Linked DNA regions of Oryctolagus cuniculus. The protein of the gene in region 2 interacts with the protein of the main gene of each other region in a biochemical or structural test. Links are inferred from orthologs where the notes say so. Each region holds a gene or a part of one and is shown on either strand. Other genes may lie near its edges.

What was found.
Region 1: the proteins of BMPR1B (region 2) and BMP2 form a complex in vitro, tested with the Homo sapiens proteins (3 studies listed by BioGRID and IntAct, with this or other methods). The link is inferred for Oryctolagus cuniculus from reciprocal best matches to the Homo sapiens genes BMPR1B and BMP2.

What each region holds. Positions count from the first base shown.
Region 1 is NC_091442.1:31,668,121-31,672,297, reverse strand, and holds the start of BMP2 (bone morphogenetic protein 2 precursor), read right to left. Parts: upstream 2,801-4,177; 5' UTR 2,739-2,800; intron 1,562-2,738; 5' UTR 1,555-1,561; coding exon 1,212-1,554; intron 1-1,211. UniProt on the Homo sapiens protein: Growth factor of the TGF-beta superfamily that plays essential roles in many developmental processes, including cardiogenesis, neurogenesis, and osteogenesis. Induces cartilage and bone formation.
Region 2 is NC_091439.1:70,357,191-70,361,473, forward strand, and holds the start of BMPR1B (bone morphogenetic protein receptor type-1B), read right to left. Parts: upstream 2,801-4,283; 5' UTR 2,675-2,800; coding exon 2,602-2,674; intron 1-2,601. UniProt on the Homo sapiens protein: On ligand binding, forms a receptor complex consisting of two type II and two type I transmembrane serine/threonine kinases.

The DNA.
Region 1 (4,177 bases), on a different chromosome or scaffold from region 2:
TGTTGATCCTCAGATCTTCAGAAAACACTTTACTTCAAAATGTGCTGGAACACGTGCTACCAGCTCCCAGCTCCCTTCACTGTGACAGCTGGGATGAGAAGTAGCTTGTGTGATGGGACCTGCCTTTGGGACTTCTTCTCATTATCACCCATCGTTCTTGAAAACGTCCCACTGAGAGAAAATTGTTTTCGTCAAGGAAAAGGGAACATCAGTCAGTGCAAGTGGCTGTTCTGTGATCTGTAACTCCACTCTTTTCTAGAATTCGCAGGAATGCATTCTGTATTTAGAGCTATTAAGCCAAAGGCACATTTAAAAGAACAAAAGAATGGAAATGTAGCATGTAGTTGACTAACGGTGCTAAGAAGTTAGGTGCAACAGAGCTCCATAGCTGCCCTAAGACATTTCAAATCCACTAAATGCCTTCCTGATGAAACCAGCAGAAATATCCTACCTTAGGAAAACCACATCCAGGATCATAAAAGAAAAAAAAAATCACATTTCAATGCATGTGAAGGAAGACAGGCAGCTGCTGCAAAAGGTTTTATCTGAAGGCTTGCTTTGTCTCTACTCTGAGCCTATCTCAGATTTAAGCACGAGACAAGAAAGTCATTGTGGAAACAATAAGATTGATTGTGGAATTGATCTCCCACGGGGATTAGATAGGGATTCGAAATCTTCCAACGCAGGCCCAGATCCACTGTAAATTAGGAAGACTTGGGGGCCCTGGGCTTTGATTTTTCAAGACTATCTGAGAATTCCGCCCTTGCCTCAGTCTAGCTTGAAACCCTGGCTTAAGCTGGAGACACAGATTTATGGAGCAAGGGCTTCCAAACAGACTTCAAGAAATCCCAAACCTCCTCCTTCTCCCACTGCGGAATTCCTGCACGCTTAGCTGACCAGGGGCATGCCTTTTAGCCTCGTCTTCCCCATCCCTTGATTCCGCTCTGGTTCCTGGAGGAGGAGTCGCCCTCCTGGCTGCGTGCCAGGAAACGGGTACGGACCGACCAAGGGGGAATCCCTGGCTGGCCCGCCACACGAGCAGTGCCTGAAAATCAGATTCAGAAAGGTCGGTACGGAAGCAAGAGGGACAGCATCCGCAGAGCTCTGGCTGAACTGCCTCTCCAGGGATGCCCGCAGCCGGCCTTGGTGCTCGGCGTTGCGGGTAGCAACCCGCCCGCGTCTCTGCCCCTGCGGCGCGCGCCTCGCCTTACCTTCGTGGTGGAAGCTGCGCACCGTGTTGGCGCGGCTGGCTGCCCTCTCCAGCCGGTGGTCCGGGGCGGGCGCGCCAGGCTGGCCGGAGTGCCGGCGGTACAAGTCCAGCATGTAGGGGGGCACCACGGCGTCCCTGCTAGGGGTGGGTCTCTGCTTCAGACCGAACATGCTGAGCAACCGCAACTCGAACTCGCTCAGGATGTCGTCCGAGGGCTGGGGCGAGGGGCGGCCCGATGACGCCGCGAACTTCCTGCGGCCCAGCTCGGGGATGAGGCCGGCCGCGCCGCCCAGGAGGACCTGGGGAAGCAGCAACGCTAGAAGACAGCGGGTCCCGGCCACCATGGTCGACCTGCGGACAGGGCCGACGTGAGTCACCCGAGTTCCCCGCCCAGTCCTCTCCCTTCCCGCCCCCGCGGCCTGGGCTCCCGCTGCGCTCGCTCGCCTCCTCCTCCAGGGCGCCCTCCTGCCTTGCAGCACTTGCTGGCTATGTCAGAGCGGCCACAGCTCTAACGTTTGGGGTGGGGTGGGGGAATGGAGGGCCCCAAGTTCCTGACCCAGAGCACTTTTCTCTCTCCCACCCCAGCCTGGGCCCGTCTGATACTTGATTTGGGGGTTGGCCTTATCCCTCGCTCCCTCCCCACTGAACTTAAGTGGTTGTCACTCCCCCCTCCCATACACACACACACACACACACACACACACACACACACACACACACACCAGAGCTGGCAGCCATGCAGGGAGTCTGGGGGATCACCGCTTGATCTGACACCCTGCCGCGCCTAGCCAAACTCAGAGCGCTCCCTTGCCTATAAACGCGCGCGCATGTGACTTCCTGAGAACCGGGGCACGGAACTTCCTGAGCCACAGTTCACCACTTCCAGACCCTGCAAACTCAGGGCCACGACTTCTGAAGCCGCTTGGCGGTGGCTGCCCGCTGGGTGTCGGGACGCCCCGCTCCACGCCCGCCCGCGAGCCCCCGGTGCGGTCGCGTACGCAGGTACCTTCCCGGCGTTACATAAAGGGCCGATCTCCACGCGCGCACGTGCCAGCGGGGAAACCCACGGCGCGAGCGGGACCCTGGCCCTCTAGCGCTTCTAGCAACCGGCGGAGAGAACCCCTAACGCCCAGCGCTTTCCTACGGGGGACGGGGCTCTGATGGAGAGCGCGGGTCTCCCCCAGAATCTTGATGAAGACAGCGCCGTGCCACGGCGTACAGGTTGGCAGCTAACGGGTGAAACCCAGGGGCCATCCTCTCCAAGGCAGCTCTTTGACTTTTTAATTTTTTAAAAAAATCATCTAAGTGTTAACAGCCTTAATAATATATCGAGGAAGAGCGGAGGAGGGGCGGAAGCGTGCGGGCGCGGGGAAAGGGGGCGCCCCCGCCGGGCTGGGCTGCACGTGGCCCCGGAGAGGGGTCTGTTTACGTCCTGCCCGGCCGCGCCCCGGAGGGGGGTCCGCCGCCGCCGCCGCCGCCGCGCGAGCCCAGCGCCCGCCCCGCACCCCGGGGCCCGCGCGTCCCGTACCTTTAGGAGACCGCAGTCCGTCTAAGAAGCCCGCGGGGACACGTCCATTGAAAGAGCCTCCACATGGAAAAAGCTCTGGCCCAGGGACCTGGCGCGGGGACCGGGCGTCCGCTCCCTTCCCGTGGCCTCCGGCTTCTCCTCCCGGCGCCGGCCGCCGAGTCCCTCTCCTCGCGCAGGGCGCGGCGTCCCGGGCTCGGCCCGGCAGAGGGCTGCAGCGCGGCGGGGCTCGGAGGCAGCGAGGCGGCTCCGCCGGGGCGCGGGCACCGGCGCGAAGCGGGGAGCAGCGCAAGTTAAGGCTGCAAGTTCAAGAAGTCTCCAGCCAAGTGCTGACACACAACAACAGCGAGCAGGGGGAGGAGTGCGGGCCGGGGAAGGGAAGGGAAGGCAGAGAGGAAAGGCTGCTGCTGTCGTCGTCCTCAGGCACCAGCGCCCGCGGGACGCGTGGCCGCGCGCGGGGCCGCCTGCGGGACTCCGGGGGGCGAGGGTCGGGCGCTCAGCGCTAGCTCCGCCGCGGCCCATGGCTCGGGGCAGCCATCCTGGGCGACGCCGGGTCCGGGGAAGGGCACAGCGGCGATCTCGATGCCCGGCGAGCTGCCCCCCCGCATCACTCTGCCTGCCGCCAGCGCACCCCCATCAGCGCTGGCCAGTGGAAACAGCCGCGGCTCCGGCGCCCCGTCGTCCTCGGGCGCATTCTCCGCGAGCCCAGCCGAGTCCCGGGCCGCCGAAGCGGGTGGCCGCGCTCTGCCCTCGCTGCTGTCCTAGCCCTCGGGCCAAGTGCCCTTTGTGGCCGGCTTGGGGTCCGATCACACCTCGGCTGGCACGTCTCGAGCCCCCGATCCCCGGCAGGAGGTGCTCGGCATCGCGGCGCTCGGGCTTGGCTCCGCACTCTCCGGCGCTCCGCGCGCCCGTCCGCGGCTCCGGCGCGGCCCGGGCAGCCGAGGCCACCGAGCTGTGGCGCGCAACGGCCGGGTGCTCCAACCCGCGAGGGGTCTGCGGTGCGCGGGTGCCTCGCAGCGCCCAGTAATCCGCGCGGCGCTCGCCTCGAGGGCGCTCGGGTCGCCGGCGGCGGCTGATGTCCGGCGGCGGCTGCCAATCCCCGGCGGGGTGTGGGAACCGGAGCGGCGGGCGCAGCGCGAGCCGGGCGCAGCGCGGCGGGGCGAGGACTCCGGCGGCGACGGCGGCGGCGGCGGCGCCGTGGCGCGGCGCTCGCGGCTTTTAAAGGGGACGCCGCCTGCTGGCTCCCTCCCGGCCCCGGCCGAACACCTCCCCCTCGGCGGCACTGCTCGCCGGGGATCCCCGAGCGGGCGGGAGCGGCGCTCAGGGGTGTGGACGGCGCGCCGGGGGCAGCCGCAGCGGGGTGGGGCCAAGGGCGGGGGCGCGCGGCCGCCGAGGGGGGCGCTGGCGCTTCCACCCCCCTGCCCTAGGGCCGGAGATGTCAC
Region 2 (4,283 bases):
TCATTTTGCAATGCATTTACTTCAATAAGGACTTAGGGTCTCAGCACATTAATCTTGGCCTTGTCACTCACTTAAGAGTCATGACCACTTCATTGATCTGTGTTTCCTATTTACCTTTTAGTGTGTGATCCTCATTCTCACTGAAGCAAATGCAGAATTAATGATTGAAAAGGTTTTACGCATTATCAATGCATATTTAACTTTGGTACTCCAAAGTGTTTAATTTGGTGACGCCTGTAAGTGGCTGTGTATAGCACACTCTGTCCTCATCAGGGAAAAAATTACAAAGAACATTAAGTTCATTTAGCTTATTTTGTAAAAACTTAAGAGAAATTTCTTACAAAATAAAAAAGCTTGACTGATGACAAAGCTGGGAACATCAACGGGGACTCAGCGTGTGAATCACACTCAGAGGAGCTACCAGTCTGCAGAACCTTGGCTCAGTGTACAATTCCAGCTTCCTTGTTTGCTAGCCTTGCAAATACTGATTATTAAAAATCACACTATGGCCGGCGCTGCAGCTCACTAGGCTAATCCTCCGCCTGCGGCGCCGGCACACCGGGTTCTAGTCCCGGTCGGGGCGCCGGATTCTGTCCCGGTTGCCCCTCTTCCAGGCCAGCTCTCTGCTGTGGCCCAGGAGTGCAGTGGAGGATGGCCCAAGTGCTTGGGCCCTGCACCCCATGGGAGACCAGGAGAAGCACCTGGCTCCTGCCTTCGGATCAGCGCGGTGCGCCGGCCGCGCTGCGGTGGCCATTGGAGGGTGAATCAACGGCAAAGGAAAACCTTTCTCTCTGTCTCTCTCTCTCACTGTCCACTCTGCCTGTGGGGGAAAAAAAAAAAAAGTAAAAATCACACTAAGAATAGTAAACTCCCAGGTCTGTTATGTGCCAGATTCTATTCCATATGCTAAATGTTTCCTCATTTAGTTATCAAGCAACGTTATGGTAAATACAGTTATTATCCGCATTTTACAGTTGAAAAAACTGATATATAAACACGATAAGCTCATGTGAGAGTACACCTCTGCTAAGTGGCAGAGCTAGGATTCAAATCCAGGCATTCTGGGTCCAGAATTCACATTCCTAACCCACTGTGCTATAAGATAAACAGAAACACACATGCACGAGTGCATGCATCAAAGAGGCTTAGACAGGGAGTTTAAGAATGAAAAGCTATATGGCCCAGAAAAGCAAGGCAGGTCTCTGGGCTTCAACCTCCTCCTTGAAAAACAACTAGACATTATTTTATACAACATTGTTTCAAAGTACCTTCTATGTCTAAGATTTCATGATTCAGTCCAGAGCATATGGCCTGTTTGTTATTGGCATAACTCACAGTAAAATCAGATATTCATGTGTTTCAAGGAAAATGTTAAAAGAGGATACAAAATTATCTTCAGGCAATGAAGCAATAGTAGCAGCTGAAACAGAGGAATGAGAATTTTATCTCACATCTATCATGCTGATTTTCACTTCCTGCAACAGCGTTCAGAAGCAGTTTCATCGAGGTTTTCTATTCTTTTCTAGAAGGTACCAGATTCTAACTTTTGGAGAAAAGGAGAAAAACTAGCAAGCCAGGTAGATGAACTACCTGTCATTCCTTCATATTAATGCACAAAACTCCCTTCAGTTCCACTATCTATACCAGAAATTAAAAGCATTTTTCTACAGAGCCATGCCATAAAATGTTGTATTTTAGTTACATCATGGAATACTTAGAGATTCTGAAAACCTTAATCCTGTAAGTGCCAACCCCAAGTACAGAACAACTGATAACACACACTTATCTGTTAAGTAGCACAGCCAAATTAGTTCTGCAGAACTCATCCACACACACAGAAAGTTGAACTGTAAATGCATTTCAATCTTGTGCATGCTCCTTTTATCATCAGGCTTTGGTGTATAAAGCCATTATTTCCTTATTGTCAACTTTTTAACTCCCTCATTGCAATCACTACCACCACTAATTATTTCATATTCATTGTTACCTTTCTTTTAATTTGAAAATAGTACACTTACTCTTAGAAATTATTCATTTACTTAAAATTTTCAGATAATATATTAAACTGTTACATTTTAGCTTGATACCATAATCTGCACAGAACTATCAAAAAAAGCCAGACTCTTAAATGTGGACAAGCATCTGACAGATTCACAAGCTACAATCACTGCCACTATAAAATGACAGACTAACTCAATGCATGCATATAAAAATTATAGTTCACTTCAAAGTTAATTAACTAACCTACACACATCTAACAGTACTCAAATTCATCAAGGTATTGCCTGTTAGAATTATTTCAGTACTTCACATAGCAAGTATCACAGCATGTTGACAGTTCCACTCTGCAACTTCCAAAGTGGACTGAGTGTAATTCCAAGTGGCTAGAGAAAAGAGAAACTTTAAATCCGTTTAAAAGGATACAGACAGAGCACCCCAAAAGCCTTGCCCTGACAGAGCACGCAGTACAAGTGACAGAGCAGTTGGAGAATGGGGATCGGGACACTCTGAGCCACTGAACCTATGTGTGACCGAGCCAGGAAAGCAGACCTGAAGTCAGCCCCTGCAGCACTGCTGTGTGGGGCGCCTTGATCTCCTTACCCCTCGCGTGCACAGACAGAAGAATGACGGAGGAAATGGGAAGCTGCCCGCGGAGTTCCTCCAGCCAACCCATTGCAGTAGGAGAGCAGTCAGTGGGACCCGCCCGGGAGCCTCCCGCCTCCGGCTTCTGGGCCTCCGAGCTCTCTGCGCGCCTCGCGCGGCTGCCACTCTTGTCAGAGCCGCCAGCAAGCCCGAGAGACAGGAGCCTGAAAGACAAGCCTGTTACAAACTGGTTCTGTCACCGCCGAGACCTCAGCGGATCACCTCGCGGGGCGGACAACAAAGGGCGCTGAGGCCCCAGAGCAGGACTGTTTTCTTAAGAAGGGGGCCTGACCCAGCTGCCCACACCAGGGCCAGCCCTCGCGGGGGGCTTCGTGGGGCCCCACCCACGCGCGGGTGGCAAGAAAACAGTTTCTTTCCTTCCTCCAAGGTGTTTCCCTGAGAAATGTGCAAAGATCAGGGGAAATCGTTTCTTTTCTGTGACGAAATGACGAGCGTGGTGTCGCGCATCAGGGCAGTCTGCTCACAGGTTTAAATAATGATGCAAAGCCCCTGGAGTCAAGTGCACAGGCCCGGGAGAGCATCCCAGAGACGCACAAAGCCATCTCCAGCGAATGCTGCGCGCTGCCACTCACTCATCAATTTATTTTCAATGACTCTAGTTTTAACTTACTTGTAGAAAAGCGCTGGGAACCCAGGCAACCTTACTATACAAATAAAACCTTTCTAAGTGATTCCGTATTTTAGATTTTAACTGTAACTGTTTCTCAATGTAAACTATGGTAAAGTTTCATTTCTCGTGATCTTCAATGATCAACAGGAAAGTATTTCTTTTAATGTTTTTTCTTTTATTCTGAGATCTGTCGAGAGTAAATGAAGAGCGAGAACTATAGACAGGCAGCATGTGTAGAAATTAAAATACCACCAGTTTGCCTGACAAAGGATTAATGAGAGCAGTTATATTTCAGTTGCTATATCCATAGGTTCACTTCATATTTTGAGAATTATTTTCTTAGAACAAAATCTCTGCCATCTGCTTGCTTTAAAGACCACCCCCAGCCCCCTCCCACCACATCCTACACCCACCCACCGTTGTCTCTTGGGGGCCATTCAAGTCTACTCTCCAGACCAGAGAAGCGCATCAGGTGTTTTAGGATATTACAATCAACCCCACACCCCCAGTCCATAGAGGAAACTGAATAGAAACTCAGCGCTTTCACCATTCAGGCAATCTTGAATACTCAGAGCATGATACACCACACATTTCACAGAAGCCACACTTCCGGCTTGTCAGGAACATGGCAGTTGGGGACGGTGAAAAGGAATTCCCTTTCCGTGTTAGTTATCCATATCTGCTTTAGTAAGGAACGGAGACTGGGGCACAGTACAACGAAAAAGGTCATCGGGAGAGGAGTAGCTATGTGTGGGCAAAGATGACAAAAATCAGGCAAATGTCGTTCAAGCGTGAGCCAACTTCACAACACGGTTCCTCTGCCAGTTTGGAGCCCAGCCTTGAACTTTGGGGCAAGGAGTGAATAGCTAGAAAGTGACACAGCTCCCACTTCCCCAGTGTGGCCATCCACAAAAGGGTTCACAGCACAGAGAAGATCTTTGCCCTCTCTCCAGAATCATAAATCAGTGCAAGCCAATTTATATCAGCAACCATTTGCGCTTTTAAACTA